2 linked regions of the Tribolium castaneum genome follow. The protein of the gene in region 2 interacts with the protein of the main gene of each other region in a pairwise test. Links are inferred from orthologs where the notes say so. Each region holds a gene or a part of one and is shown on either strand. Other genes may lie near its edges. The genes, in order: RpL23 and protein BCCIP homolog.

Region 1 (16,056 bases), on a different chromosome or scaffold from region 2:
ATTAAAAATTTGATTCGTCACGATTGTTATTGTCGTTTTGCATACATAAAGCAACCAGTTTTCTGTAAATTTATGTATAAATCTACATGATAAGCAATTGAAAATAAGACCTTGGCTAACAAACCGCTCAGTCGTTCGCTGTCCCCATCACAATGAAGTGCTTCATAAGATACGAAAAATACTGCGATTTTCCCATTGAAAATCTGCCATATGGGGTCTTTTCCACCAAAGACGATGTAAGTTGTTTTACATGTAACAATTTTTCGCGATAAGAATAACCGGACACAGCATAATAAAAATTTAGTACACATTTTTATATTTTGGGAGGACACTGCCATCTATCATTCGGTAGCGAACATTCCGGGTCGATAAAAACGGAACCGTCTAAAACCGTAGCGGGAATTATTAAATAATTTGATTTGAATTATTATTTTTAGCCCACACACAGGATTGGGGTAGCAATTGGGGACCAAATCCTCGATTTGAGACAAATATCCCACCTCTTTGTGGGACCAGAACTGAAAAACAATCAAGATGTGTTCAAACAGGTGATGCGAACATTGTGGCGTTCAAAACTGATTTTTAATTGTAGAAAACGTTAAATAAATTCATGGGATTGACGAAAAAAGCATGGAAAGAGGCTCGTGATACGATTCAAAATCTACTTTCGGTAGACAATCAAACATTACAGACTCCTGACATGAAAAAAAAGTATGGTTAAAAATGGTTAAAACCCGATTTGGAATTAGTTTTTTTAGGGCTTTTGTGTCACAATACGAGGCCACAATGCACCTCCCTGCCGAAATCGGGGATTATACTGACTTTTTCTCCTCAATTCATCACGCAACAAATACGGGTATAATGTTCAGAGGAAAAGAAAATCCCTTGCTCCCCAATTGGTAAGTTGGTGTAAATACAGTTTCGGAAATTAATTTCTTGATAGGAAATACTTACCGGTGGCTTACCACGGTCGAGCAAGCTCTGTCGTGGTCTCGGGGACCCCAATCAGGCGCCCCAACGGACAAACACTCCCAGTTGAAGGTAAATAAAAAACCCCAAAAAATTACCAAAAAACAAAAATTTATTTTTAAGGCGCACCTCCCGTTTTTGGGACTTGCAAACTGATGGATTTCGAACTAGAGATGGCGTTTTTCGTCGGTGGGCCGTCAAACGAGTTAGGCAAACCCATTCCGATTGAAAAAACCGACCAACATATTTTCGGGTTTGTGCTAATGAATGACTGGAGCGGTAAGTGATTTATTGTTAATCTAGTGAAAAAAAACTAAATTTTAGCAAGGGATATTCAAAAGTGGGAGTACGTGCCTTTGGGGCCCTTCACTGCCAAAAATCTAGGGACGACTATTTCGCCCTGGGTTGTTACCACTTTTGCCCTTGAGCCCTTCAAAGTGGACAACTACTCGCAAAATCCGGAGCCTTTCCCCTACTTAAAACACGACGATAAGTTCAATTTCGATATCGGGCTGCAAGTGGACATCACCCGTGTGTTTTTTATTTCTTTTTTAAGGATTTTTAACCTTCATTGTGTAATTTTTTAGCAAAGGGGCTGAACGTGTCAACCACAGTTTGCCGTTCTAATTACAAATATTTATACTGGACGGCAAAGCAACAACTGGCCCATCACACCATCACCGGGTGCAATGTCAGACCTGGTGATTTGATGGCAAGTGGAACAATCAGTGGCGAGGTTTGTGTAAAAATCAATAGACAACAAAACATTTTGTGTTTTCAGACTTCAGATTCCTTCGGTTCGCTCTTGGAGCTGTCCTGGAGGGGCACCAAGCCCATTTCGCTCCTTGACGGCAGCCAGAGGAAGTTCCTCCAAGACGGTGACACGGTCACCATTAAGGGAATGTGTGAAGGCGATGGTTATAACATCGGTTTCGGCGAATGCGTCGGTTCGTTACTGCCAGCTATCGACATGTAATTTTTTCCAATACAAAAAATAAAGTTTGAAGTTAATTGTGTTTTTGTTGGTAAATAATAAATGATGGCACCGCCAAACGGAATGTATCGATCATGAATATAATAAATGCGGGTCTTATCAACCTTGGCTCCCTTTCCATAAGAGTGAAAATCACGAAACGGTATAGAATACAAACATTGACGAGAACAGAGCGGAAAAATTGTACCAATCGTGGTTTAAATATGTATGTGATGCAATGTCAAGGCTCTAGCGCTTGATTAAATTATTACAAGAAAATGGCTCTGAGCGGTTCATTGCTCAGTAAAAGTAGTTCTCAGGAAAGATCAGATCTTGTGGCCTTCTGGAGTGTTCCACTACTTGATGGTATACACACTGTTGAATTTGAACATGGGGGAACAACCGGGAAACGGGTCATCAGAGTGGACGGCAAGGTACAAAACCGAAAAAAATATAGTTTTTTTGTACAGTCACAATTGTAAAAAATGACACCAACTCGGCTGCGGCTATAAATAATACAATTGTTTAATTAGGTGGAGAAAAAATTGTTTTTTTTATTGTTGCGGTCTGATTTAGTTTCTGGTCCGATTTATGTTATTTTTTAAGCTTGTGACTGTACATTTTAGGAGATATTGCGGCGCGACTGGATGTTTAAACTTGTGGGCGATGAAAAATTTACTTTGGGAAAACAAGGCGCTAAATGCGAACTGCATGTCGATCCTTTGCCACATTTCGCATTTGCGTACAGTCTGTACGTTGATGGAAAACCTTTGGAAAAATTTACAGAGAAACAGTCACAGACAACGCGATCGTGGGCGGTTGTGACAGAAGGGAAACGCTACCGTGTTGTTTTTGGTTAGTTGCTTGATTTTTGTAATTTATTGACTTATAAAAAATGTTTCAGAGAAACAAACTTTGAATGTGTGGGTTAACGGACAGTATGTTGAAACTGAGAGTGTTTTTATTGACGGTGGGAGCGAAATGACGTTTGAATTTGAGGATTTGAAGGCTGCGATACGGGCGACTTCGACTGATCGCAAGCAGGGGGTTATTCACCAGCTTTACGTCAATGGGAAATTAATTGAAGAAGATATTTACTGATAATGTGATTTGTTTTGTAAATAAATAAAAAAAGATTATTCCGGTACCGGGAATCGAACCCGAGCCTCCTGGGTGAGAGCCAGGTATCCTAGCCACTAGACCATACCGGACTTATTTAATTGTGAATTACCCTTATATTTAAACGTAGTAATATGAAATTAAATTTTGAATAAGAAATTGATTGCATTTCCCATTGATTTTATCTCATATCAAATAAATTAAATGTCTGGTCCAAAACTTGTGCAAGAAACTATCAACTGTCGCGGAATTAATGAAATAATTGACGCTTTGTCAATTACATCCTACATGGCGCCACTAACAACACCGCGCGGAATTTAAAATAAAAAACATTTAATCGGTTTTATGGCACTTTATTAAAAACATTAGACTACAAAATTTGTTAATACACAATTTTCCAACGTGTCGGTTGCGGACACTCTGTATTTTCCTTACAGAAACAATTAAAAGTTGTGTCTGGGGGGAACCCCAGAATTTCTCTCTCCTCTTGAATGCGAAACGAAAACGTGCTTTCATACGTCCCTATAAAATATCTAGCGTGTGAACAAATAATTTGATCAATTATTGCCACTCCTCCGTCTTTGATTTTTTCCCTAGTTTCACTGTCTGGTGTATATCTTTGTGTTTTAAAAGGTATGTTTTTTATAATATCTCTGTACTCTGCGTTAATTTTAATTAGGTAAAAATTATTTGGTTGAAAACAATTAATTACCGTCCTCGTCTGCATCCGTGGCGATAAAAACCTGCGATAAGTTCAATTTCTCAAGTAAATTGGTGATTTGTTGCGTTATACTATTGATTGAAGGGACTTGATGAGCCCGCCCTCGCAAAAAATCCCTACGTCTTAAATGCACCCCTAAATAGGGCCCCCCTTTTGTGCTCCGTTTGGGCTAAAAATCCAAATAAATAACGAAAAAAAATGGAAACAAATTACTTTCTCATCCTCCCAGTTTTCAGGTAAAAACTCATCGCTCGAATTTAAATATTTTTGGCGAAAATCGAGCGCAATTTTTTGCAAATCTTTATTAAATCTCATACTACGCCTACACTGCCAGTAAGTTCGGTCTCCGAACATGTCATGTAACGCAACTTCTGCATGATCCAACAAAATTGTTCTTCAAAAATGATGAAAAAAATATTTTTTTCAGTCAATATAATTATTTCTTACTTGGCGGACGATTTGAGCAATAGTTGCGACAATTTAGTCGCAGGTCCATGATACGACAAACACTTAACATTGTTTGAAGTAACATTTTTATAGAAGAAATAATTTATTTGGTATTTTTGGGCGCACTGTTCAATTTGCATCCTGTCTTTGAAATTGCCAGTCTCAAACATGTCTTTAAAGTGCTGCAAAACGTAAACCTCGTCTATTTTAACGCCATACGTCTGATTTATGGCTAAAAATTAATTTGTAACAAATAAAAAAAATGATTACTAACGCACCATCAAAAAATTCGTACATTTCGATAACCGGCGCAAATCGTTTCAAACTCTCTAAATCAAAAAATCGCCCCCACGGTATGTGTTCCGGTTCCGCATTGTACTTCCAATGGAACAAACGTGACCATGGGGGCAAAACCAACTTAAAATTGTTCAATTCGTCCTTTTTTGATTGTTTTAATTTGTATGCCAGAATGGCAAAGCGCATGTAGACGTCTCGACGCAAATTGAAGCCTTCAGGCGGGTTCACGTCATACAGTAAATACCTAGAATGGGGTTACAGGGGGCTGCAAGACACCGGGACCCTCACCTGTCTTTTGAGCCATAATTTGGGCCACAGTCTGAGTCAATGTGACAATAATCCTGGCTGCAGTTGCAAAATGCGAAAAAAACGAGCAAAATAAACTCAAATAAACAATTTTGTGTCGACATTCTTTGAGGTTATGTCCGATATGAGTTTGTCAACTTATTTTTAAATATCGAGAAAGATCAGCAAAATTATGAATTATTGCGCCAAGTGTTCTTAATAATTGATAACAAAATGTATTTGTTTTAATTTAAATGTTAAAAAAAATAATAAAAAATGTGTATTCTGAGTTGGCAACAAAAAATCAATGATCATGTGACCCAATTTTTCAAAAAAAACACCAAATTTTTAAAGTAACCATTATTTATTAAACCAAATAAGACTCAGTCACAATTTTATTACATTGTTACGTAGGTTGGAGTTGTCATGACTCCGCAATTGTTGTCTTTGGACGACATTAGGATGTAGCCATCGTTGCCCCAATAATTCGACCAACTGTTTTTAACCAACCAGTAATTTTCACCATTTATGGTTCCATACCCAACTGCCAGAACGGCATGATCTAATTCGTCAATTTTATTACCACTGAAAAATTTTTTTCTTGAAAATATAACAATGGATAAATTAAAAATTACCATTTGGGTTCGTAATAAACCCCATTGGAGTAAAAACTGAAAGTGCGTTGACTAGCATCAATGGCCACACTAATAGGCCCATGTTTGAACAAAGCCAACCTCAAGGCATTTTCATCATTTGTTGTAACGTTAACATAACCGGTGATTTTGGCAACTTTTTGCACCTTATCTGCATGACAGTAACCGTCCTGTTAAAAAAATGCTCAGTGACCTTGAAAATTAAGTTGGCAAGACTCAATGACTCACTTGTCCCAAATAGGGGCCATAGGCCTCCTCAGTGGGGATACCACCATGTTTGAGCATCCATTGATATGCCCTGAAATCCTCACCCCCATCACAACCGTTATTTCCATACCCCCAAGAACAATCAACTAGAGCTTGTTGAGACAACCGGAAAAGTCGGCCCCCATTGTGCAAAAAAAGTGCCCCCTCGACTGTACCCACAGTTCCGAAACTCCAACACGAACCACAAACCGATTGATCTACGATTTAAAATACAAAACTGGAACTCACTTAATCAAAAAATACCTTTAACAGGTGTTACGGCCCCCAACAGCCTCCAGTCCCACTGATCGGGCAAATCCTCCTTATTTATGTTTTCATACGGGAAGGGGGCCCCACCGTTGTAGCCCCCCGAATAAGTGCGCCCTCGCAACGCCTTCAATTCGGTTGGGGTTTTATCAGCCAAGTGATTCACAGTCAGGGTGAACCCCCTATTTTGTCTGTTCATCGAATGGATAAATCGGACGTTTTGGCGGAAAATATCTTTACGCATGAGAGTTTCGGTTTTATTTTGGTAATTTTTGCCATGTTTTCGCGTAAATTTGCCAAATTCGAAATCAACATGGCCACTTTTTTCAGGTCTGATGAATTCAGCCATTGGGTTAAAAGTGTAAATGTGTTTGTCGCCAGGGCCCGGGAAGGCACTACATTTCATGTCTAAAAATTAATTTCGGTCAATTTAGTTTCAACAAGTAGCCATTGATTTCGAGGCAACAGTGTGTTGCAAAAATCACAGGCTACTCTGATTTAAACTATAAGGTTGGATAAGTACTTGAGTCAAATTTGAAGATGTCGTCCGGGATGGGGTCTGAGCTGAAGGAGTCATAATCGAGGTAGTAGTGGTCATAGTGACTCCCCAAAAGTGAATTAAAGCCCCTCATTTCGTATTTGACCGGAACGGCGATTTTTACTCCGGTGTTGTCCGGGTCGTCTTTGTAATACAGCCACATGGCGTATTTGTTGACTTTTTGGCCGATTGTTTGAGACAGGGCCCATTTTTCGGTTAGGACTCCGCTAATTGTCTCCTCTCCAGTACATTCAAAACCTGTGAGGTCAGGGAGAATGGATTGGGGCTCAATTGTGTTTTCTTCAGTTCCGTTGACTTGGAGACAGGTTCGGGAGTTGGTTTCGGTCTCTGTTGTCACAGGGGCTATTTTAAGGCTGCTGCCGTATGGCCCCTCTGTGGAGAGTTGGTAGGTTTTCACCATATCGCCGTAGTAGTCAATACGGGAGCGTTTCGATTGGCCATCGTACCTTGATTATTTATTTAAGAATATTTTTTACTAGTTTACTATTTTTTTTTTATTTGAAAGCCAAAAAGCAAAACAAAATGTTCTCAAAGTAGTGACAATTTGTGATTAGGTTTTCTTTTCAAATTAAAACCTATTTTTCTAGTTATAATAATTTATATATTAGGTTTTAAATTTATGTTTAATCGCTGACTTTTATATAACAGTTCAACTTCACTTTTCCACAAAAGTGAATAACAGTGCAACATAATTTCCTTGTTATTACCTAATTTATCCAGAGATGGAAAATTACAACTGTATTAGAGACAATTATCAAATTTATATGATTGAATACAGTAATTTCAATTGTTCATTTATGAGTCGACAAATTTGTTTGATACAGATCACAGGATGTAAGATTTTGAGATAGTTAATTGTCAAAGAGAAAACAATATTAATTAGCTTATCACAAAAATAACAATACAATAAGTGGTTTATTAAATCTAAGTTGTTTGTTAATGAATTTATCAACAACGTGACTATCAGTTTAAGATTACTTAAACTTCCTAAAAATGCGGAATGAGTTTATAATGAAAGAATGCCAAATTTTATTACCACAATAAGTTGAATACAATTTTTTGTTCTAGTTGGAAATTTGTAATACAATAGATAACATTGTATCGGTGATTTTTGTATTTTTTAATTCATACAAAACAACAATGCCTTCTGCGTAGTTGAAAGAAATTAAAAAAATATTGCGTAAGACAAAAACAAAATAACATTGTCCAAATTATTATTTAATTTTTTTCATCACTATTATTTTGCAAAGGAAAAGTTTATTGAGGGTTAAACACCTAAACTTCGAATAAATTAGTCATCTTGAACAGTACTGAAGTTCGGGCAACTGAGTTTATGAATTTTTAGGAAACTTACCAGGCGTAGAAAGGTTCCTCAATTTCAGCATAAGGGATGTAAAGAATGCCCTTGACCGTGTATGTGTTGCTCCAAGCCGGCGCTTTGTTGGAACAGTCCCCATAGACTACCAAAAAATGTACTGATAGTTTAAAAATTTGTTACTTACCTAGTGCCAAAAAACACGAAAAAATCACACTTTTAAATAACATTCTCATTTGGCGTCAAATCTCCAAATAAACAAATAGCCGATAAGAGGCCTCCTTTTAAAAACAACCCCCACGACCTATGAACTCAGCTGATAAGTGGCAGAAAGTTTCGATTGGAGTGAAGCGATTCGACAAAGAGGGGATGTGCAAATATGGACAAAACTGCTTACTGATTCGTCAATACGATTTCATCAGCGTTTTTAATTGATTTCAATCAGGAATAGGAGGCTCAAAAATTGTTTTAAGATCAGATCAATATTGGAAATGGATATTTTATGACGATTACAAGTCACTGAACTTTGCATTGTTGATGAATTTGCCGTTTTCATAACTGCTGTTTCAATGCCTGACAAAGCAGTAAACTGGCCCACATCTAATTTTAGAACCTAATCGTTTTTTTTTTAGTTTAGTTAGTTATACTAATTTTTAATTTTACTATTAAGTTTCACTTTTGTACTTAAGCATTGTTACTTTTACTGCTTCACAAATTTTGATTGCAATCATTTTCAGAGTAAAAGTGAGTTTATTTGGTTTAGCTGAATTATTTGCCTCACTACGTTTGGTAAAAATCAATGTTCAACTTAGCCGTAATTAACATAATTTGCTATTATCGCTTTAGTTATTTAAGGTTACTGAAAGTCGGTGTGGTAAAGACCGTTCTTTATTTTTTTACACTTTTTATAATAAAGGAAACATACAATCAGGCGATACTGCTCGCATTTGAGGCGATCCTGGGCCACAAGTCTGCACATTCCTTCGCCACAGGTCCTGTGATAGCCGACCCCTTCATTTCTCCTTTATTGTTCACAATGACCCCCGCATTGTCTTCAAAGTATATAAACACCCCATCCTTCCTTCTGAAGGGCTTCCGTTGCCTGATCACAACCGCAGGCATGACTTTCTTACGAAGTTCCGGTTTGCCCTTTTTCACAGTCGCTACGATCATATCGCCGGAACCAGCAGCCGGAAGACGGTTCAACCGACCGCCGATACCTTGCACAGCGATTACATACAAGTTTTTTGCTCCTAAAATCTAATTTTGTAAAACTGCAAACGAAAAAACCAAAACCCACCTGTGTTGTCAGCACAATTGATGACTGCACCGACGGGCAAACCCAGGGAAATCCTGAATTTGGCTCCCGCGGAACCACCACGTCCTGAAAATCAACGAAAACATGTTACCGCAAACATAACCTAAAAACGAAATAGCGCAATTTTAAGGACCATCCCCGAAAATATCTACACTAATTCATGCCGATTTTCACAGGGATTGCAACAAATAAAGTTTAAGGATACAAAAGTGAGGGATTATTGGTGATTTTTGCGGTTTTTTGGAGATTATTCGAGCACTCACCTCTCTTAGACATTTTGGATTTGGAAAAGAGCGGTTTATGCAACCGAGAACGCACGTCGATTGTTTGACATTTATTTAAATTTTGGCGGTAATGTCAAGCATTTTCCAAAAAAATAATGTTTGGTGATAATTGTGGCGACGATATTCAAAGTATTAACCCAATAGTGTGAGTTAGTGGTAACGCCCCCATAGACGTTGTTTTAGATATTGAAGAAGATGTGTGCCGTCAAACTTCGGACACTGAAGGCGAAATGTTGCCTTTGGATCAAATTGAGGATAATAACGTTAATATCACTGATTTGGACACATTATCCGTGTCTGATTTTCTAAATGATTTGGACTCCCAAAGTTCGCACAACACTTCACCAGTCAATGTTGATTCAGACGAAATTGACGAAGACATCGAGAGCCAAAATAAAAGGGTTTGTAGAAACGTAATTTCGGGACGTAAAACAATTCGCATGATTTAAGGAAATTGCATTAGCTGCAGTTTTGGAAAACTTGCACATATCCTGTAAGTTCAAATTTGTGGTAACTTCAGCGCCATTCGGTTGGCAGAGTTAATTGTAATAACTGTCAGTTTTTCGTGTTTATGTGCGTTTATTTAGTTAACAAAAAAGGTTTATTTCAAGTATAAACGTAGATTAGTTAGTATGGTTTTAGTCGATCGTATCCAAATAGAATTAGGGGGTAACTCACTATGTTTGTTACATAATTGTGACATAACCTCAAACTTTAGCCCAGGAGCCTTGGCCCAAAGACGTCAAACTCTTCCAACCCTACGAAATCGAGCAAATTCTATTGCCCGACAATGCCAACTGTTTGGCAGTGCAAGCTTTCCTCAAAATGTGCAATTTGGAGTTTCAAGTGGAGCCACGAGCAAATGCCGAAGCCATGTCCCCCTCAGGCAAAGTCCCCTTCATCAAAGCTGGGGCCTTTGTCGTATCTGAACTCGAACCGATCGTACAGTTTGTTAACAATAAGGGAATCACCCTAACTGATAAACTTGACCCCGAAATGAAATCTGACATGAGGGCCTACATGAGTTTGGTCCACAACGTTATGGAAGTTGCAGAAGTGAGTATTATTTTATTATTTTACGTTTCAAAATAACGTTCGCATAGTTGTACATTTGTTGGTGTGACAAAGAGACTTATAATGAAGTCACTAGTGTGCGATATGGGTCCATTTATCCATGGCCTTTAAACCATATTCAAAATAGGGTTAAGAGGGCACAAGTCATAAAAAAATTGAAGGTTTTGGGGTGGTATCAAAAAACAATGTCGGAGGTGTTCCAAGAGGTGGAGAATTGTTGTCAGGCTCTCACTGACAGGCTTGAGGACAAAGATTTTTTCTTTGGTGACAAGTATGCACACCTTTAATGAAGGAAGTTTTCCTTCACTTGGTTGATCGCATTGAAAATAAAAGGCCTATTGTTATTTCCATTGATACTTTGCTGAATGTGGTTTAAACCGATATAGCTTAATAATGTAAAAAGACTTAAATCACTTGGAAATAAAATTGAGATTTATTTTGGCGATATTTTTTTGCTTGTTTTATCCTTGCACTTGAGTGCATGTGAAAAGTTTCCAAATTGAATTATGGGTCTTATCACTTAAATAAGAAGCGAGTAACTAGGTGAAGGAAAATTTTCTTTATTGGGATAATAATTGTGTTTTAAAGGGTGGGATTTTAGACCAACAGAGCTTGATGCTTTAGTGTTTGGTCACCTTTTTACCATTTTGACGACTCCCTTGCCAAACAGCCACATTGCAAACATCGTCAGAAATTATCCAATTCTTATAAATTTAATCCAAAGGATTGAAAGGGACTACTTTAAACGAGAGACGAAACACTAGTCGTGTAAATAAAAGACAACAGTTTATTACTTTTATATTTATTTCCTGTTAAATTGAGATAAATGTAGATTAAAGCACCTTTCAGTTAATAATTGTTCGCTTTTTTCTAAGTTAAGCTAAAGGAGATCAAGAACCAGGGCAGCATTACAAATTTATGTACAAAAAATAACATGGTAATGCTGCTGTGATTCAAGATCGGAAAATACAAACAAGCAACGGCTTGGTTTGTATAAATTATTGAGATTGAGTTCAAATCGGGTGTTTCCCCCCGATTGAACATTGTATAAATAATCCCTCCACCGTCCCCTGTTATCATGACTATTATCTTAACCTATCGGAACTTGAGGTAAATTACTAGAGAAACAGACTGAGGCAAGTAATAATAAGTAATAATGGCAGTTGAAGATTTCATCTTGAACACCATTCGAAAAAAGACGGACGTTTAAAACTATATGAGCACTGAGCCTTTGAATGGCACACCTAAGCTAATTTTCGTTCGATAGAGTGATGGCAGTTAGTTATCGCTGACTTTAACTACTATGACTATAGGCAGTGTTGGTGTAAGGACCGCTGTAGATCGAACTGCCAGGGTTTGAGGAAGTCTTCTTCGAGCGTCTTCTCGCCAAAAGGCAGAGGATTGCAGCGATGACGCAAAGCATCAAAATCAGACCCGCTATACAAATTCCGATAGCGAAGCTGCGTTGCGAGATGCAGATGCTGTCCTCAGGTGTCTGCAAAAATTCAAATTTTGCCTTTCAATAGTCACAGTGAAAGTTCAAACAATGAGTAGTTTTTCAAGTGGAGATACGCATGACATTCACTTTTCATTATTTCTTATTAACACAGGAGATGAGATTTATCTTTCGTTTCCGTCAAATGATTGTCCAGGAAGTTGAACACATGATTTCGGAGGAAAATAATGAATAAACCGTTTGATCTCATTGACCGATTCGGCCGAAATTGCGCGACTTTTTTCCTCGTTAAATCTCACCGAAGGTCATTAAATTAAAATGACTCACGGTCGGAAGAAGCAAAAAACCACCGTTGTTTAGTGACTGCAACAGCGATCGGTTCGCTATTGTTGTTGTTTCATTGTACGAAAAAGGCGACAGACCGTTGTTTATTTTTTGATTGCAACCAAAATTGGCAATGCCTCCTGAGGCGATGTTCGTTCGAAGAAGATGTGGTAGGTAACTCACCTTCTCGCTAAAGACGGAATCCTCCTCCAAGCCGGCTTTGGCGAGGTCGTTAGCCTCATTGACATAAAGGCCGCTGTATACTTCGATAGTGGCAGGAGTCCCTTCGGTGGGGTCCGCTGCTTGTCTGCGCAACCTGTTCCCTCCGCAACTTGGTGGCTGAAAAAAAACACAAAAATCTAAATTCAGGAATTTTTTTAGTTGTGGATTTAAAATGGGAGTGGATCAACAGTTAATTGAAGTAATTCGTTGAATTCTAAAATTTACATACATTGCCTTGTAGGCGATAACATAGTATACTGTTAACAACTGACGTACTACAACTGTTGAATAATTTTTAATTAATTAAAATTTTTTTCTATTTTTTTTCCTGCTCGTATTTTAGATTTTATAAATCTGGCTCTAAATGTGTTTATTTGATAAACACTTCCACTGATACTGTTCATAAAAACTGAAGATAAAATCTGAAAATTTGTGCAAGATAATTCAAATGTATCTATCAACGGAAATAAGCAAATTCATTAGTCTATTAGTTGGCGATTACTAAGCCACGACAATTAACGCGTTCGTCGTATCTTAACACCAGCAAAAATATAAATATTATTAAATTGATAATTAATTTCCACGGAAGAGAATAATTTAGTTAAACATAACTTAGAGAGTATATCAGAAGTTTGTAAGAAATAGGGAATTAAACAGTAGGAAATGATTAAATAACTCACTTGTTGTTTTTAACAGTTTTCAATTTATTACAAATCTGTCCACTGAAAATTAACCGTTATTTGCAAAAACGCCAATTTTAACACGATGTGGCCCAAGTGTCATTTGAGGACACGCTGTGGATGCAATGGACCCTGACGCCCTCCCATTTAACCTTGGGTGCAGCGGCCATACACCTACAACCTGAACCTGATGGTTCTTCTCAAAGCGAACTTGGCTAACCTCAGTCAAGAGAGCTAACGGTAACGGATCTAAAATCTTTTGATTTGGTGTTTTTTTCAATTCGGATTTTGTGATCATGTGCTGAGAGAATTCCCAGCTGTGAAAAGCAATTAAAAGGAAATCAACGTATTCTTTCGGCAGGTCACGAATATCATTTACAGATGGACGTAACTGTTGTGGTTTATCTATCGAAAATACTAATCATAAAATCAATTTATGCAATAACTGCCAATTTTGGTTTCCTCTAAGTGGATTTCGTAAATAGTAGAACTTTCGTTTTTTGAGAGAAAATTAAAATTCAATATGCTCATGTTTCGTAAGATTATAATAATGCAAATAAACACATTTGGTTGCTTTTATAGTTAATATCTTCCTACACGACTAAAATAATTTCTCGTCTGGCTTTATTGGTTTTATCCTTAACAGGTTTAGTGACAGCCTCCATGTCTACGAATTTGTAGGATTTAGTGTTGAATATTAAGTCTTGATGATACATAATTATTTATTTATTCTAAAATAAAATTTCAACTCGTTTTTTCAGAAATTCTAAGACTTTGAGCAAGTCGTAGAGCATAACATCAAATTAACTCTTTAATCTAGGTTTTGCTTCTTTTAAGAGACAAACACAAAGAGAAAAGTTGTGGAGCAACTTGAAAAGTCTGCATTTTTAATTAATTGGTAATTGGTTATTTACGAGTATCCTCTCACTTTTTATTCAGTAAAATTGTTTTTTTGTACAAAAAAGACACTTTCTATTAAAAAACACACTTGTCCTGTTCCTTTTTATTGCAAAATAAATAAGTCAAGGCTACTTACGGAAATATCGCACCCTCCATCAGCCTTCAGACACAACTTGACGTTGCATTGGTAGTAAACCGAGGCGGTATATGGGAACTTGTGCGCCTGAAACTGCACCGAAGCTTTCGTCTTGTCCTCCGAATACTGAAACTTGCCCATAATTTCAGCATCCAAAGGACAGCCTTCGTCATTAATCAGTTTCTGTTCGCCCCAGCCTAGCCCATCTCTGACCAAACAATCCGTAACACGTATTCCGTACGTGTCTTGCTCGTCCAAAGTAATGACAAGTGTTAAAGGGTCACCGATTTTCACGTTCTCGGCAACTTCCTTGTACGAAGGGTCTCCTGAAAAGATTTTCATGCTGCAGCCCGGCATGGGGGCCAGTGCTGTGATTGGATCTGCAGCCATCAAACTGAAAGAAAAATCAGTTTTCTTTACGGACTTTCTTGAGATTGTAATAATGTTAAAACGTGTGAAAAAAAAAACAGGGAACAAAGGAAGTGGCAGTTGAAAGTAAAGGAAAACTGTCATAAATTATCATAATATGTATTGGTTGGCTGCAGCTACAAACATTCAAACTCTTATCTCCGGTCGGAGATTTTGCATACAGCATGGGCGTAAAGGTCATAAAATCGAGTCCGCGTATTTCCATATCCACACTATCTGTTTTGTTTTTTATCACTGAATTTATTACCCACCGTTGTTACAATTAAGCCAAGAATTCGCATAAAATATCATTTATTAAACATCGTCTCACTTTGCAGCAATTTCAGCTCATCCGGTATTAAACTAAGTATGTGAACTTCAAATCATCAATCGAAAACTGTTTATACAATTATTTTAATTAGAGACAACATTATGCAAATCATGAACATTGAACTGATTTCCGAGCAATCATCAAGGCTGTGTGTTTCATTTTGTCAGATTTTTCATTGACTTGTAAAAATAAACAATATTTTCACAGGTTGTTGACAGACAGAATAAACTATTTTGTAATAATATTTGCTGAAAGTACTGCTTACTTTACCGTCCTTATATAGGCATAAAATGGGTAGAAACTCAGTTGGTCAGACTCACAGCTGCTTTTCTGAATTATTCAATCAATGCTTAATTGAATAATTTATAATTAATTGTTATAATAATTAATAATTATTGGGTTTTGTTAAAATTGGTTTCCAGAAATGTTTTAACGCAAAAATTGTAAATAGTTTAACAAAACCAGAAAGAAAAACTTGATTTTTGGTCTAAAAACGTATTTTAATCCTTCGGTGATTCTTCATCGAGTTTTGGGGTAATTTTTTTAAAAAGAAACATAGTTTTTACCTCAACAAGACTCGAAGAAGGCTAAAATACTACTGTTTTTAATGAAATTTTGCGAAATAGATATAGATAACATAATTTTGGATTTAATTGATCTATTAGAGTGAAATTTCGGAAAAAAACAGTCAAGATTTTAGCTTTAAAACGTGCTTAAATTCTCAAAGTCTAGAAATAACATTACTTTTGACCAAAATTTATTGTTTGTTGTAAAAAGTTCTTGTAAAGTAAAAAAAAGCGTTTTTTGGAAACAAAACGAACTAAGTATTTAATTATTTCGACAAAATACCTCGATTTTTGGCTTTTAATCGTAATCTAATCGTACAGAATTAGTCAAAAATGAAGATAAGCACACATAACACAATTTATTTGAAAAACGAGTCAACGTTATAAATAAATTATCGAAGACGCAATTTTCGTAATTCACATGATACTAGGCGTTTTATTACGAAAGGTAAAGCAGTAAACCAAAAATAAAAAATTTCCTAATGAACTAAGTGAAACGTTAAAGG
Region 2 (15,765 bases):
TTCGGACACACATGCTTCTAACATCGATCGATGTCGAAAAACCGCGTTAACGGCACAACTTGTTTCTTCATTTCCATGGAAGAGTAGTTATCGTAATTGGAAACAACAGTTGATCCTCTGGATATTTTACAACAACTAAGTATTTGAATTTTCGTCTGGCAAATAAAAGAAAGTTTTTATTTAAATAGAGGTAGCAATGTCAAATCGCATGCATTTTAATGAAGTTACTTAGCTATCAGTGGTGGCACTTATTCATATTTAAATGGAAACGTTTCATAATTTTCTTGGGCGGCCACAATTATATAATAATCCATTTAACAATGATAATGATAATAATAAATTCGTTGACCTAGTCTACTGGTTGATTGGGCCGCACCGAAATGTTGTCGAGTGACACCTCAATGTGGTTTATTGTATATTTAATTTGGCAAACAATGGGGCTTGAAGTTGGAAAAATTTTGATTTTTACTGGGGGGATCTAGATTCACCTTACGTACGAAATAATTCCGTTTTGGATTTACCTCACGTTATTCAATACAAATTTCATGGTCTGTTGGTCTAACTTTAAATTTAGAAAACGTAGCAATGTTTACCTTTTTATGGATGCGCTGCGTTATTGTACATTTAAATGTTAAGGGCAAATTGTGTTGCAATAGAAAATTTAAATAATGTACAAGAAAGAAATTTTCAATTTTCAAGAAGTAACGCTATGTTTGGATTTTGCCTTATTCTCCAAGTCCAACAAACCTGTTGAACATTCCAGACTAGTCATGAAAACCATAAAAATTGTTTTAAAATTGGGTTAAAATATTTATTGGACTGCTGATCTCTAGTAGCATAGATTAAGTACCTAATCTATGGTACTGGGCATTTAATCACAAGATAACATTAATTTTGCCTTCATTTACAGAATACACCTATTTTATTGGTAAAATGAAAAGTATGAATGCTTATTAGTTATTACATAAGACAATTAACATAATTTATTTCATTGCAGTGGACTGATTACATCGTTTAAGAGGTGCATCTTCCAATTAAATATGCAAGAAGTTTATGATACTTTCATAGAGAGTTTCATGTAATCACTAATCGGTCTACGATTTGTCTACATATGCCAGAAAAATTTTGAGTTTTCATTTTTCACATTCATTTTTACTATATCCTGAAAATAAATCTTTACTACTAACTTAAAAGTTTACCTATTATTATTTGTTGTTAAACAAACTTTACCCAAAACTCTACTTTAGATAAATTTTAAAAAACTAAATGCAAAGTTATGCTATTTGTGATTACTGATTAGCGAGGCAAATAAAGAAAGGTTTCCTTTATTTATGTTTTTCTAAAATTATCCTCCTAATTTTCAAATTCAGGAAATATTTTAAGATTTTGAAAACACAAATAATTTTTAAGATGAAGTAACTTTTTAACCGTCTCATCTTGTTTTTATTTTATTGAAAGAAATATTTTGATCGTTGTCTTTTAAAGTAACAGTCTCACCTTGTTTTTGTTTTATCGAGTGAAATATCTTGACCGTTGTCTTTTAGATATTTTTTCGAGTATTTTTTCGTATTAGATTTAGATATAAACTTTATCTGCCATTGAAATAAACGACTGTTCATACTTTAAATGAAAGTAAAAATTAAGCTTAAAATGACTTCTGAAAAAAAGTTTTACTTGAATTTACAAAGATTCATGGTGGTATTCAGTTAAAATGTTAGCAACTCCCTCTGTTGAAGTAAGGGTATCAGTGTTCAAAGACGATTTGGAATTAAATTAAATTAAATATTTTATTCGAAAATGTCAAGATTTTTCATAAAATTACTATTTTAAGCTTGGTATTATAAAAAGATTCACTAAAAGGAGAAAAGCAAAGACGAATGTAGAACAAAGCGAAGAAGAAAATATATATTTTTTGTATATTGTATTTTATTTTTATTTTATTTTTATTCTATACATATGTTGTATTTTTTGTATTGGAATAATTTCGCAGTTTCTCGTGTCGAATTAATCGAATTGAATCCAAATTATTTTATACTTTGTTTGAAAGAACTTACATTTTATTTTGGTATAAATAATACACATTTAAAAATCTGTTTTATTTTCACGGAGTAATGTAACCAGACTGAAGAGTACACAGTGTTATTTTTTTATTTAAATTAAAAGAAATTTTTAAGTGGTGTTCATTGCCACAGATTACCTTTGCAACATAATGGATTATACCGGTGTTTTTTTTTCTAAAAATGGATTTTTCGTTTTTTTGTTATCTAACACTTCAAATCCTAAGGTAGAATTGTATACGTGATTTTAGGTTTCTAGTTTTCTCAATTTATCACATTTTTAATACAATATTTTGGTACTTTGGTAAAACATCGCACGATCTGTCCGTAATAATATAGTAACAGAAGTTAGATCTAGATTTTTTTATTGCAGTTTTTGAGGCTGTCTTACATTCTTTTTAGGTACAACTAATAACAATAACTGATAAATTGATAATAAAGATTTGAATCACAATTTCTATTTTGTATTTTACTGAATTATTTTTAATTGCATAGTTGTTAGCATCTTTAAACAAATAAAAATAAAAGAACAGTCACAAAAACACAGTTTTATTTTGCATTCAACAACACAAATAAATAAACATAAATACAGTTACGATCAAATAAATACAGGTACAGTATATCCCTTATTAGGGCGATTTTTTGGCGAATGGAGGGATTCCTAAAAACAAGAGAAAATAAAAATCAACAAATCTGTTACGACCAACCTTCAACTTCCGTAGTTGTGGGTGGTTTGATTTGTGGCGACTTCAAGCAACATCTTTTATCCCCAACACCTCCAGCTTGCGTCGGACAGTACGGAGGATAATTATCATGAAGACAATACGAACCACTCGCCCTGAAACCCCCTAAGTAGCTACAAGTATCCAAAATTGCCAAAAACTTACGACAAAGGCGTAAATTGTCCCATTTCTATCGGGATCCCAATGCGGTGGCCCGGCCTTGGCCCCGTGGGACACCGTCTGGAGCAGGGCTCTGCCCTTTTAACAAAATCCTTGTGGATACTTTCCGCCAAGTAACACACAGCCCAGACGTGGCTACACAACTGTTCATCGACTAGAAACCATAAATAAATATCGTTAAATAACGCGTTCTAAATTATTAACGTACGTCCAGAGTTTTCGCAATAAGGTTGTACCCTTCCGCCGTTAATACAAAAATCCACGTGGCCGCTTTTCCCCGATTCACCATAATGCCCTGCATTTGTGTGGAGAACGTGGACAGCGGCTGCACTCCCACTTTCCAGCCGTGAGGAGTTCGGTACTAAGGGCCTGGCAGGGTCTAGCCCTATGATTCTGTGGATTCGGAACAGAACGTAGCGCGAAATCAAGCCGCAGATGTGGGCGCCTAACGAGTGCCCAACACAGGTCATTTTATCGGTTTGCAGTCCCATGGCCCTTAGGGCCATCAACAGGTCGCCAATGCACCGCGCCACCGCTTTCATGTTGTGAACGGCGGCCCTGTAGCAGGGTGGAGGGCCCAACTTGCCCCAGTCCACCACCCAGACGTTGTAAGAACCATGGTTGATGTACGCGTCGCGGAGGACGGCCATGGGCAGGGTACCATCGCCGCCCGCGTACCCATGGACCAGGATCATGTCCTCCTTGGTGTGGTCCCACCTGCTCTGCCGCAAAAAATCGCTTTTTGTGTAGTCAACCACCTCGCTTTCGCCCCCGCTGTACAAAATAAACCTAACGTCGGGGTCGGGGCAGCGCTGCCGTTGGTCAGTTGGGCGGAACGAGCAGTCCCTTAGGGTCAGATTCGAGGAAGTGGCGTTGTGGAGGTAGAGGGCATCTTTGATGGGCTGGTTCGGGAGGGTCACTTGGCACCAAGTCACACCTATTTTTTTTTAATTAAATTGAAGTAACAAGTAATGCACTTACAAATCGAAATTGAAATAAATCCCACTGTGGTGATATACGACATGGTGAAGCACAACTCTTGTGGCAGGAAGAATTTGAAGTGTCGTCGCGAAAAATGCCGCTAGAAATAAGTATTGATTTGTCGGCAAGAAAGTACGAGGAAAGTAAAATTTCATTTCACCATTTTCTAGTCATTATCGGGGAGTGTGACAAATGGTTTGGAAAATGGGGGAAACTGGGGGATCAGCGATGGGTGGACTGGAAACAGGGGGTTTATTTAGGGATTGCGATGGTCAAAATTGCTTTCTTAATTAGTATTTTTAAAGTACCACCAGAAAAAGGTACTGTTAGATGAAGAAAGTGGTGTGCATAATAAGGAGCCTGATTTACATACGAGTGCGGCTATTTTGATGTGTCGTGTCTTAAAGAGATTTAATGATAGGTGTTTGGCCCACTTTTACACTTTGCAGGAGTCATCTTCGTGGGTGGCAGATAAATATTATAAATTTAAATTAGCGAATTAGCTCTTGTCAACAACAAAGTAAGACAGTTTCCTGTTATCTAATGGAATTACCTGGAGTTTTCTGCATATTATTATTTTTTTTCGTTTTTTGTTATCTACAATATTAAGAAAATATTTGTCAAGTTTGCCATAATTATCTAGCAAATACTTTTATGTATCTTTGGACTCTTTCGCTTGTAAAACATTCATTCCATTTTAACGAACGTGATATTGTGTACAAATTTTTATTATTTCGGAGGCGGCAAAAGTATCTTTATTTTGGCTAACAAAACAGCAAGTAAATCGATGAGTTGCATTTTTTTAAATAAATTGATCAGATTTTTAGTTTTCGTCTTATTTTTTTACTTCTTAAGTTCTTAATTGTTTGATTAATAAGTTTTGAGAAATTTTTAGTAGTTTCAATTCATATTAAAGAAAATTCGAAATGAGTAATGTCTTTGAAAAAAGTCAGAGACAACGTAATATTATAGATATAGAAAAAAGCGTAAAAATGGCTAAGTTTCTTGAAATACAGAGTCACTTTTTAATAGATATCTTATAAGAGATATTTAAAAATCTAGCGCATGTTTGGTCACATCACAAAGAACTTTTCCAGGTTTTGTAATTTAATTTTCAAAACTATCCTGCATTCTTAAAGAACTTGTGCTAGAACGGGAATTGCTATTTCATTCAATTAATCTGACTGAAAAAGTTTATAGAGAAAGCCAACTGATAAAAAGATATTTATTTATTCAAAACTCGGTAACTGATACAATTTGTTTGATGTTAGAATAATTAGATTTCTTTAACTGTTATGGAACAGTGTATGTTCAAACACACCTAACATTTTTCGAGCAGTTTATGCAGTTTAGCAGTTCATTTGAGGTGTCAAAAAAGGAGTGGTAAGTAGCATTTAAAATTTTGAAAATGCTACAAATTTCCAAAGTACAAAAATGTCTTTTTTCGAGGTTTGTAAATTTATCCTTATTTTTTGACTTAATCAATATTTTTTTTAATGTTGTCATAGCCAGGGGCAGCCAAAATACGCCACTGGTGTCAGATTGCATTATTCCTGGCTGAAAAATGAGTTGAATAAACAATTTATTCTATTCTTTCCCTAAGAAAGTGAGTTTGAGTTAATTGTCCTAAAATAGTTACTTATTGGACCTTAGTATTTGACAATTTGTTGTAGCTGATGATGACATGTTTATGTCAAAACATCTTACGTTTTTTTTATTGTAAAATTTGTTGATAGCCAAAAATATTATTATTTATTATTTGCCCTAACCCTTATTTTTAATTATATTTTCCCATTTTTTTATGTTTGTATTATGTTTGATATTCTTTACCATATTCTTGAGAATCATTGATTTAATATTCTTATTTTTATTGCACTTAGCCCACAAGCGATTTACCTAATATTGCATCAATATGTTTATTTAATGAAGTTGTTCTTTACCCGAAATGATTTGCTCTACTCATTTTATTTTATGACTTGTAATAATATCTCGCTGGACTTAGTCAAATTACAATTACAATTGCCTTATAAAAAGGCGAAAAGACGATTTTTCTATCACTCCCTTCTAAAAAAGCAAACAAAATGCGCCTTTATTCCTTTATATTTTTGGTACAGTACTTTGAAATCAGTTCATGCACCAATTCAAAATTACTCGAAATCGAACCTTACCTACTCTCAAACGTTATGAAGGAGTTCATGGTTCGCATAATCATGGAAAACAGCCATGAAAAAGACGGCTTCCTCTACATCGCCATTAACGAAGTCGAGCCCGACTTTAGCGACTTTGCTATCAAAAAACTGAACGATCTTGCAAGCGTCATTATAATTAATTTCGGCATTAACCGAAATATTAAGCCATTAGTGAGTCAAATTCATTTAAATTCGGCCAAAGTTGCAAGCTTGTTTCCAGCTCAATCCAAATCATTTTAAGTTCGTCCTGACCGACCCGGAGGGTGATCTCTCGTACGCCAATGATATTTTCAAAAGAGTGAGAGTTTCACGAGCCAAGATTGTCCTAATTCTCACTCGAAAACCCCTTCCGATTTTTATAACGTATCTTCTAAACTCGTATGCAAAAATAAAGTGTTTCAACGTCATCGTGGTGTACGAATCGGACGGAAAAATTGAAGTGATGACCCACAATCCATTTTTGCCTACATTCGACAAAATTGTTAACTTGACTAACTCGCCTTTGCCTTTCTTCTACGACAAGACGAGAGATCTGCACGGGAGCACAATTAATTGTTTATTTACTTTCCATGACAGGACGAAAATAAAAAAAGTGAGGAGGAGCGGAAAAGTGGATTTTGAGGGAAAGGATTATAACGCAATTGCCACAATTGTGGCACACTTAAACGGGAAACTGCAAATTGAAACGATGGACAATGCGTTTATAAATCCCTGGTTTGAGGCAATCAATTGGCCTGATAGGGCAAGTCGAAAAATCAAAATTTTGGAGAAGCGGGACATTTCGATTTTGATCAAATCGGAGCAGTTTACTGTCGATGACCAAATTGTGGAGAATTTATATCCCCACACTCAGAACGACTTGAGTATTTTGGTTCCGAAAGCTTCGGAAATACCGGTGGGTGAATTAATGGCGGCAATTTACAAGCCCTCCACTTGGGCCCTTAATGTGACAATTTCGTTAAGTAAGTCCAACATATTACTGGAGTGTTGTGTAATTTTAATAAAATTCCAGTTGTTTTTCTCTTAGTTGTGACTGTTAGAAAATTATGCAAACAACGTATTATCATCAAAGACGTCTTTTTCGAAGTGTGGTCTGTCTTGGTAATAAACCATGTAATCCACTTTCCACGGCACAGTTTGGAACGCTTGTTAATTTTCGGGTGGATATTGTCCTGTTTTGTTGTAAACATGTTCCTGCAAACTAAAATAACCAGCTTTCTGGCCATCAGACTGAATCACCCTGACATAAACACCATCGAACAATTGTTTGAATCAGGACTTCCACTCTACTCGCTCCCAAACTACGCCGAAGAAGTCCAAAAGAAATACAACGGAACGCAGTACGAAAAGTTCACTCTTGCATTACTACCTCTGGCCAGTAATGAAGGCTTGATGGACCAAATGACTTACAAAGCCGATGTTTCACAACTCCCTGCATTTATAATCGAACACGATATCGCACTTTTCGTCTCTAGATGCAAAAATCTGAGGAGAAATGGGGCGCAAATGTACCATTTGGTCAAAGAGAGTATCATCCCGAATTACCAATCGTACAAAGTCATTTATAATTCTCCTCTTTTGCCCGTATTGAATAAAAAATTGAGGAGGTTGGGCGAAGGTGGTTTCATTGAACTGTGGGCTAAAAGGTCCATTCATAATGCAACACTTGAGGGGTTTTTGTCACCGGAAGGTGTTGCGGACGCTGACGCAGTCAAACCTTTGACTCTAGACATGACTTTATTCTTGTTTTATGGGCTACTTTTGGGTCTTTTGTTCGCAACAATGGCGTTTCTGGCTGAGGTTTTTGTTTACGAAGTAACCAAACCCAAGCAGTTTATATTTTTACATTAATTGTAGGTACGGTGTTTTTTGCATTGCCAATTAGACACATTTTTTTGAATTTTTAATAATCTAGTATTTAACGTAAACCAGTAGGATACAAACTGCAATGTTATGTTTTTCTAAATGATTTAATGAATTATGTTGTTTTTTGGAAAAAAATATTCAAGTTGAAGCAGTGTCACAGAATAATTATAAGAATATAAGTAGGTAAAGTACATTATGTGTTAAAAAAGAATTTTTTTTTAGATACTGACCCCTGCCTCACCTAAAATTATTCTTAAACATACAAGATGTTTTCTAAATTAGCTACAATAATTTTTTTAATAGAATACCCTGTAAAACTTCATAGTTTTTCTAAATTCCTAATTGCTTGGCGTTAAACAATTGGTTTCTATTTAATTTTAAACATTCTTCTTTAAAGTGGTAAAAGTTTTTTTTCTGGGAATCTTAGTTTTTGGGCAATACGTTTTTTTTAAGAGCGTGTTTTAAAAAAACATAAGTTTGTATTGTAGCTAATTTCAAAAAGACTATTTGAAAATAATTTTAAGGAAAAAAATATTACTTTTCCAACATTTAAAGGTGAATAATGAATTTTACGACTTCCTGTTCATGGTCGGATTGTTTTATCGCCGCAACCAAATAAACACAGCAGTGTTAATCTTGACACGTTTGAACTTAAAGCAGTTGATGAACAAACACATAAATTAGATGCTGGCTTGAAAAACTATACGGTTGTCAGAAATTTAGCTGTTTTTACCGTTTTTCATCCCAATTTGGTCAAGGAAAATGATCTCATTAATCAGTATTAATTTATTTTTGAACCTCCACCTAAGCATTATTGATCATTAGTGGCATTTATTTTTTTTATTTTAAGTGAAACTAAGTCTAAATACTAGAAGGCGAAGCAAAATTTTGTTTTAAATTAATTTAATTGCTTTGAAGAAAAGCAGGGAAGTTGGGGATCAAATTAATAAGCTAAGAAAAGTGTACTACGATTTTTACGAAAAATAGTTATTTAAATTTGCGTTCTGAGCTGCGAATACGGTTGAAGGTTTCAGCATATCTTTATCTTGAAAGGTTTATGATTCGTTTAATTTTTTACCAGTGGTTGAGTGCTAAACCAATTCAAACCTTCTCGGTTTAGTTAATTTTCTAGAACTTTGTCCCTTATTTTTTGTATTCAACTGTATTTGACTTGTGTTCACTGTCTTTGTTTATTTTTCTTACTCTAAAACATAGCTGTACTATGTGGCGTTGTGTCGCACCCTAGTTAGTATTTAAGTGTGTGTATTTCATGTAATAGTATTTCATTATAGAAAATATACACTTTGCTTTTAAAAAAAATTATTCTTAGCCTAGTTTGACACAAAATTTTGTATTTCGCTTATAATACTTGGAAGTTTGTCCGCTTTAAACAAAATGATTACTCTGTGTGGAATCAACTCTTTATCTTCACTTTGCCAATTCCCCGTCAGTCCTGTGTCACTTTTTCCGGCCACACTGTATTCAAACCTACAGTCAGCTTTCTTCCAGAAGATTTCTTCTTCATCATTTGAGAAGACGATTTCACTACCGTCGCTTTTGGACTTCCAGTTTTTACAAATCATTAAATAGTAATCAAACTTATAGCCGTCATTCTTCTTCCCCATTCTGTGTATTTCATCTTGTAATGCGTGTAGCATAGGAAGGGAGATTTTTGATGGTATGTTAACAAACCGCTCATTGATAATAAAACCAATTTTGTTTGAATTGTTTCCCACAATTTCTTTAAATAACGATTTAGCTTCAGGATCCGCCTGTTTCGTAACCTCATCATCAACTAACTTGTACAGTTGTTGAACACATGGTGTCTCCTGAAAACCCCCTATTATCCCCAGGTTGCAAAATAAACACAACCACCTTGTGTTGCGTTAGATTGATAACACTGGTGATACCAAACACATCAGACTCCTCCACCATCTCAATATCTTCCTCGTCGTCGCTATCGTTAAAACTTTGCTTCAAAACAGATCCAATTCCAGCCTGAGAAATAAGCATGTCACTCATTTGGCCCAAATCAACATGTGCAGTTAAAAATAACTGATTCAGTAACTGTTTAATGCCGTGAAAATCTTGGCCTTCGGGGTTTCGGCCTTCAAAAGTCGCTTGGATTTCCTACAAGAGCACGTGTCATAAGTATAACCCCAAAAACTGTACCCACTTGTTGGCCATGGTAACTCCCGGACTCGTCACTTTGATATTCCTCATCAGAGGCGGGTTTCGCGACCTTTCGCGACTTTTTCGAAGCCCCAGCCATGTTTTGAACTTATTTGCACTAAAAACTCAACTCTCAAGCCAACCGGTTTGTATTCCTAGGTTAGGGAATTGTCAAATCTCAAACAAGTGTCAGGGATTACAGTGGACCAGTACAAAAATCTAGTTTGGCAAAATAAAATCTGAAAAAAGATGAAGTTTAATTTAATATCAATTGATAGCTATTGGAATAATTATTTAAATTATTAAGGATTTAAAATTGCATTTTTAATCTTCACAATTGGGAAATCCCGGGAAAGCCGCAAAAAATGTATTTTTTTTTCAGTAAACAATCAGTTATTGGCAATACTGGGAAAAAGATAAAGTTTTAAACATAAATTACTGCTAACAACTTTGTCATTCTTTCACGAACCAAAAAATTATCATAATTATAGGCAATGAGCAAGTAACATTATTGTGGACAAAAAATTGTTATGTAACCTTATAGACACACTAAACATGTATATGTGATAAAACCCGCGTGAAAAAAAATTTAACTAAAAATATTCGACTTTTTTGAAATGTTGGAAGAATATTTTGAAAATTTGGTCGGCTGGACGAGTCCATTATCCCAGAGGGGTGGAAAGTGCTGCAAAGCGAGTGCGATAACCGCAAGAACATCCCCAAAGTCCTTTTTGTGCAAACTTCTGGTGATTTACTTGAAGATTATGTGTGATTGCCTTTTGTAAATCGCGAAATGAATTAATTTCGCCAAAAATATCTTTGCGCTGCGCGCACAGTGCATCCAACCGGGCACGTCAAATTCCCCAAAGCCAATGTGATGTGAGTGAGTTGTTGTGGACGCAATTTGTGAATTTCGCGGAAAACTCCGTATTGTTTTTCTCGGGAAAATGCTGAGAAAAGCTGAGTTCGATTTGTGGTTGTGCACTTAGATGAGTATCTGGTGCGCAATAATTTTCGGAGTTTTTATGCGTCCCCATCAGCCATAACAATGGAACTTGGTGACCATGTTTATGCCGCCGAAAGGATTATAAAAAAACGAGTCCGTCGGGTGAGTTTTCATCCTTGAAAATGATTATCCTTTTCGGGTTGTTTGGTGGGGGAAATGGGGGCTCCCGGCGGAGCTAACCTCGAATTTCCATCGACAGTTTGCGATGGGTTTGTTGATAAGGTTTGTGACTCAAGGGGTATTTCCTTACATAATTGGGGTTTCCTGTCACCCCTTCCGGTCTAAGACGTGAGTCACGGCTGAGGAGCTTCGGGGAGGAAGTCGTGGGGTTAATTAGGACGCCGTTTTCGGTTTTTTTCAATAAAAGTTGTCAAGAAATGGGGGTTGGGGCTGTAAGTCGTCATTATTGTTGCCAAGTGCCACATGTTGAGGAAGTTATGGTATAATAGACGAAACGGGTTTGACGATTGACTGACAATAAAAGCTTTACAAGCTTATTATTACGGTTTGGAGTCAATAAAGTAATCCAAGGTCGTAATTTATAATTTATGAACTGGTCGAAATGTCTGCAGATGTTCACTAATTTCTTGAAAAATGGTTAATCAACTTGGGGGCTTTGATATAGAGTTGTGCTAATTTGGAGTAATGTGAAGCTTGGTAAAAAATAATACAGACGTCGTCTAAACTGACGATGACTTAATGTTTCAGTTGTGTAAACATTGAGATAAGAAATGTTGAAAAACCAACAGAACGGAAATGCATTCTTCAAACGTCGTGTAAAAAAATTTACTCCAAAATAATAAAAAAAAACTGACTTTGAATATTAAGCTTTATTTATTATTTTTCACTGTTATTGAACTAAACAGATTATTTATAGTTATTAATAATACGAGTGCGAAAACACAAACTTAAAGTTCGAGGGCTAGACACCCAAGAACTTTAAGCGTTTTCGTATGAATGTTATTCAATTTTTTTTGTTGGAACATATTAATTTACGTTGCTATGGGAAGAGTGTTTTAAAATTGCTATCGGAAACGTGTTTTAAAATAGTGTTTATAATGTAGGATTCAGATATCAAAAAGAACGGTTAAAATATTACCAACAAAAAAAAACTGCATCAAGCTTAACAACTGAGTGCATTTCGTAACCAAAATGAAAAAAGGAAAATCTTTTTTTTGTTCACACCTTGTTTGTGTTTCTTCACTTCATTTAACTTTTTATCATGTAACAGTAAAAGACACGAGTTACATGTCTCACAGCAATACCTTAAAAATTTTGAACAATAAAAAAATCAAGTGGTAACTCAATTAATTCCCTATCGTTTAAACTATTTAATTTTTTACTCGACTAGAGATATTTATTTTTGCCTCGGCCATAATACTTGGAACACCCTATACAAGAGAACATTTCGTCCTAATTTAATTATTTTTTACAATTACCGGATGTTAATGTCAAAGCCATAAAAAGAGATAGATTTTGATTCCAGATTATTCGTGAATGGAATAATTTGCATAAAAAAGGTTAAATAAAGAACACTTCTGACTTCAACTCGAAACCATTAGATTGTATGTAATCAAAAAAATTGTTAAAATACGGACATATGACATGTGGCGTGATATTTTTAGTTATGAAACTCATTATGCAATTTGTATTTATGTACTAGATGTTTTTTGAACAAACTCACATTTTTCTAAATTGTTTGTATTATGTTTTTTTAACTGCTTAGCATTTATAATTGCTGTTGTAAAAACATGTACGTCGTAAGAAAATGCAAATTTCTCATCTTGTTACACGTAGTTGCAGTAATGAATCATCAAATTTAAAGCAACTTTTCTTAGAAATTTCAAAATAAATCCACGATTGCATTGGCAACTTTGTCTTTGCTAAAATTTCATTATGAACTACTTTTATTTATTATTAAAAATATAAAAATTATTTATTAAAAATCAAACGCATATTCAGTGGTAAGTGTAATTAGTATTTTTGGTTGCATCTAAAGAAATTTCAGAAATAATCTCTAAATAATTCATAAAACAAAGCAAAATTAATCATGTCGTTGATATTCATACAAAAATTTTAAAGTATTGTAATATCACTTTGTTTATATTTTTCCTAATGTAGACTTTACGATAAAAAGTAGCCACATTTTTTAATTATCTTATCTTAGCATTACCTACTTCAGATTAAATAATAAAAATTTAACTGGTTTAAAAAGATAAAAAATGACAATTTACGATTCATTAATTTTACTTTGATGAAACTTAAAACATAATAATTTAATAATAAAATCATATAGAGTATTTTGAGCTCTTTTGGCTAGAAATGTTTTTCTTGGCTCAGAAGACTTTTTTATTACATTTTGTTTATTATATGTTGAAATATTTTTAATTTTATTTGTTTTTTTCAAATGAAACCAAAAAAGTAATTTGAGTAATTTACGGTCAAACTCACTCAACATGTATCAAATTTCTTCGGTACATAATTAGTTAATTACGCAATGGAATTATAAAAATGAGAATGACTTAGCAGATCGATTACTCGTATGAATGCTCCGTAATTAATTGCTATCACCAGCGAGGTGGAAGTCAGCATTGTTATATTGAATCACTCACTTTAACAGTACATGAATCAAATGAAATAACCGAAAAGAAAACAAAGATAATATCTTGGGTTATCGAAATCTATTGGAACGGAACAATACTAAGTTATAAGTTTATGACTAAAAGATTCATCATCAATGATTATTTAATTATTTAGTTAATTCACAATTTTTTCGATTATTTTTCCAGGGTGTCGTCGAGTACTACGTGAAATGGAAAGGCTGGAGCCAAAAGCACAACACATGGGAACCGGAGGAAAACATCCTCGACTCGCGGCTGATCGACCTCTTCGAACGTAGCCAAAAGCTCGACCCCCACAAGCGCGGTCCGAAAAAGAAGGACCGACACCCCGAAAAGCAGCAAACGGAAACGGAAGACGAAGGACGTGCAAGCGGCGAAGAAAGTCAAGATGATGGCGTTACAAGCGCCGAAACCAGCAAATCAACTCCACAAACAAAATCCGAATCAGCACCAAATCCAGACGATGAAGATACAAGAGCCGAATCCGAAGTATCGTCAAAATCACCAGTGCCAACAGGAGTCGACGATAACGAAAATTCAAACAGTTCAAGTAGCGAAGATCGTAGACCGATTTTGGCACGATTGGAAATCGGGACCAAGAGAAAAGCGGAAGTTTTGTCGAAAGAAAGTGGAAAAATTGGAGTTACGATCACCACCAGTAGTCCCACCAGCGCCAGTCCCCCACCAAATAAGGTAGGAATTAATTTTTGTGTTTTTTTTTTGTGAAAAATCAGTGGCTCGCTACCTAAAATCTGTAGGTACTCCCATCTAAATTTAGCCTTATTTTAATTTCGTACTAAGATATATTTTTCGTAATTACTGACGTAATTAACTATACTAACATATTTTTCGACCTGTTCTAACGAAATTTCACAAAATAAGTGAGTATCTTACTCAAAAACAAGATAAGCCTATCTAAAGGTTAAATAATGCCATCTACAAACATTCCTTCTAATTCCTACAAATGCAAACTAATTATTTACGTATTTTTTAGCCTTTTGAGGAAAATTCCGCTAAACATTAGTTTCTCCCTAATGTCATCGCGAAATCAACTGGAAATTTGGCACCTAATTTGACTGTTTAGTTATTTTTGACGAAATTTCGCAAAATTAGTGAGTATTTTGCTTAAAAAAAAGGTAAATCTAACGAAAAATGCTGAAATAATGAAATTTTCAACCTTCCTGTTATTTTTTTTGGTGTGTTCTATCATAGTTATATTTATTATTAAATGAGTTTTTGGCTGAAAGACTACTAAAACTAGTTCGTTAAAGACAAAAGTAATTTATTCTCGATCTTCAGAGGTAATTATTTGCAAAGTGTTGCGTGAAAAGTGCATTTTTAATTTAAAAATTTGTTTAAGCATTTGTAAGAGGCAAAAATATTGACTTTAAACTAATTATTTAGGTATTGTTTGGATTTTTGAGGCTATTTTCGCACTTATAAAACGAACTATTATATGAAATGTAGCGAAACATTAAGATAACATCATTTGCGACTTCTTGTATTTTTAGTTTTTTGGCGTACTAGACGGAAGTAATGCAAAATAATTGAATTTTTATCTCAAAATTTCATAATTATTTGATGATTTTTCGACGAATTTTAAGGAAACTGAACGTCATTTTCGCTCTTTTTTGACAAAATTTTACAATAAGTAAGTTTCTTGCCAAAAAAAGACAAATCTTACGCCTTCATTTGTGATTTTTTGGCCTGAACTGGGAAGTTTATACGAAATAAGTATGATTTGGGCTGAAAGACATACTTGAAAAAGGGAAAAGTAACGCAATTAACTTTCATAGCAAAATTTCGTGACAAAAGTATTTTTTAAATGCGCGTAAGCATTTGAAAAAAGGCAAAAATGATAATAATTTTGAACTAAGTTGTTCTCTGCCTTTTTTAGTGAAATTTGTGGAAGTATATGAATATTTTTTGAAAAATTTTCATTCAAAATAAGGTTTTAACGAAATAAATTTT

Evidence for each region.
Region 1: the proteins of protein BCCIP homolog (region 2) and RpL23 interact in binary tests that used the Homo sapiens proteins (3 or more experiments, as listed by UniProt). The link is inferred for Tribolium castaneum from reciprocal best matches to the Homo sapiens genes BCCIP and RPL23.

The regions. Positions count from the first base shown.
Region 1 is NC_087396.1:24,470,382-24,486,437, reverse strand, and holds RpL23 (large ribosomal subunit protein uL14), read right to left. Parts: upstream 9,549-16,056; 5' UTR 9,446-9,548; coding exon 9,433-9,445; intron 9,236-9,432; coding exon 9,152-9,235; intron 9,105-9,151; coding exon 8,779-9,104; 3' UTR 8,724-8,778; downstream 1-8,723. Other genes in the region: Faa (fumarylacetoacetase), read left to right, coding at 153-236, 438-548, 593-711, 759-899, 944-1,041, 1,093-1,248, 1,294-1,500, 1,557-1,705 and 1 more; fas apoptotic inhibitory molecule 1, read left to right, coding at 2,221-2,376, 2,569-2,797, 2,847-3,043; O-fut2 (GDP-fucose protein O-fucosyltransferase 2), read right to left, coding at 3,444-3,721, 3,774-3,951, 3,996-4,176, 4,230-4,461, 4,508-4,770, 4,815-4,936; CtsK1 (cathepsin L precursor), read right to left, coding at 5,210-5,396, 5,447-5,634, 5,693-5,928, 5,975-6,385, 6,501-6,982, 7,891-7,996, 8,039-8,087; metaxin-2, read left to right, coding at 9,549-9,582, 9,625-9,854, 9,904-9,946, 10,172-10,509, 10,557-10,798, 11,129-11,291; pio (cuticlin-4), read right to left, coding at 11,822-12,022, 12,491-12,646, 14,246-14,639.
Region 2 is NC_087395.1:14,247,709-14,263,473, forward strand, and holds protein BCCIP homolog, read right to left. Parts: upstream 10,358-15,765; 5' UTR 10,268-10,357; coding exon 10,172-10,267; intron 10,126-10,171; coding exon 9,871-10,125; intron 9,825-9,870; coding exon 9,327-9,824; 3' UTR 9,299-9,326; downstream 1-9,298. Other genes in the region: uncharacterized protein LOC663058, read right to left, coding at 1-87, 2,705-2,718, 2,765-2,895, 2,945-3,113, 3,168-3,896, 3,941-3,983; uncharacterized protein LOC107398622, read left to right, coding at 6,572-7,091, 7,142-7,980; polycomb group protein Pc, read left to right, coding at 11,216-11,275, 13,963-14,487. UniProt on the Homo sapiens protein: During interphase, required for microtubule organizing and anchoring activities. During mitosis, required for the organization and stabilization of the spindle pole.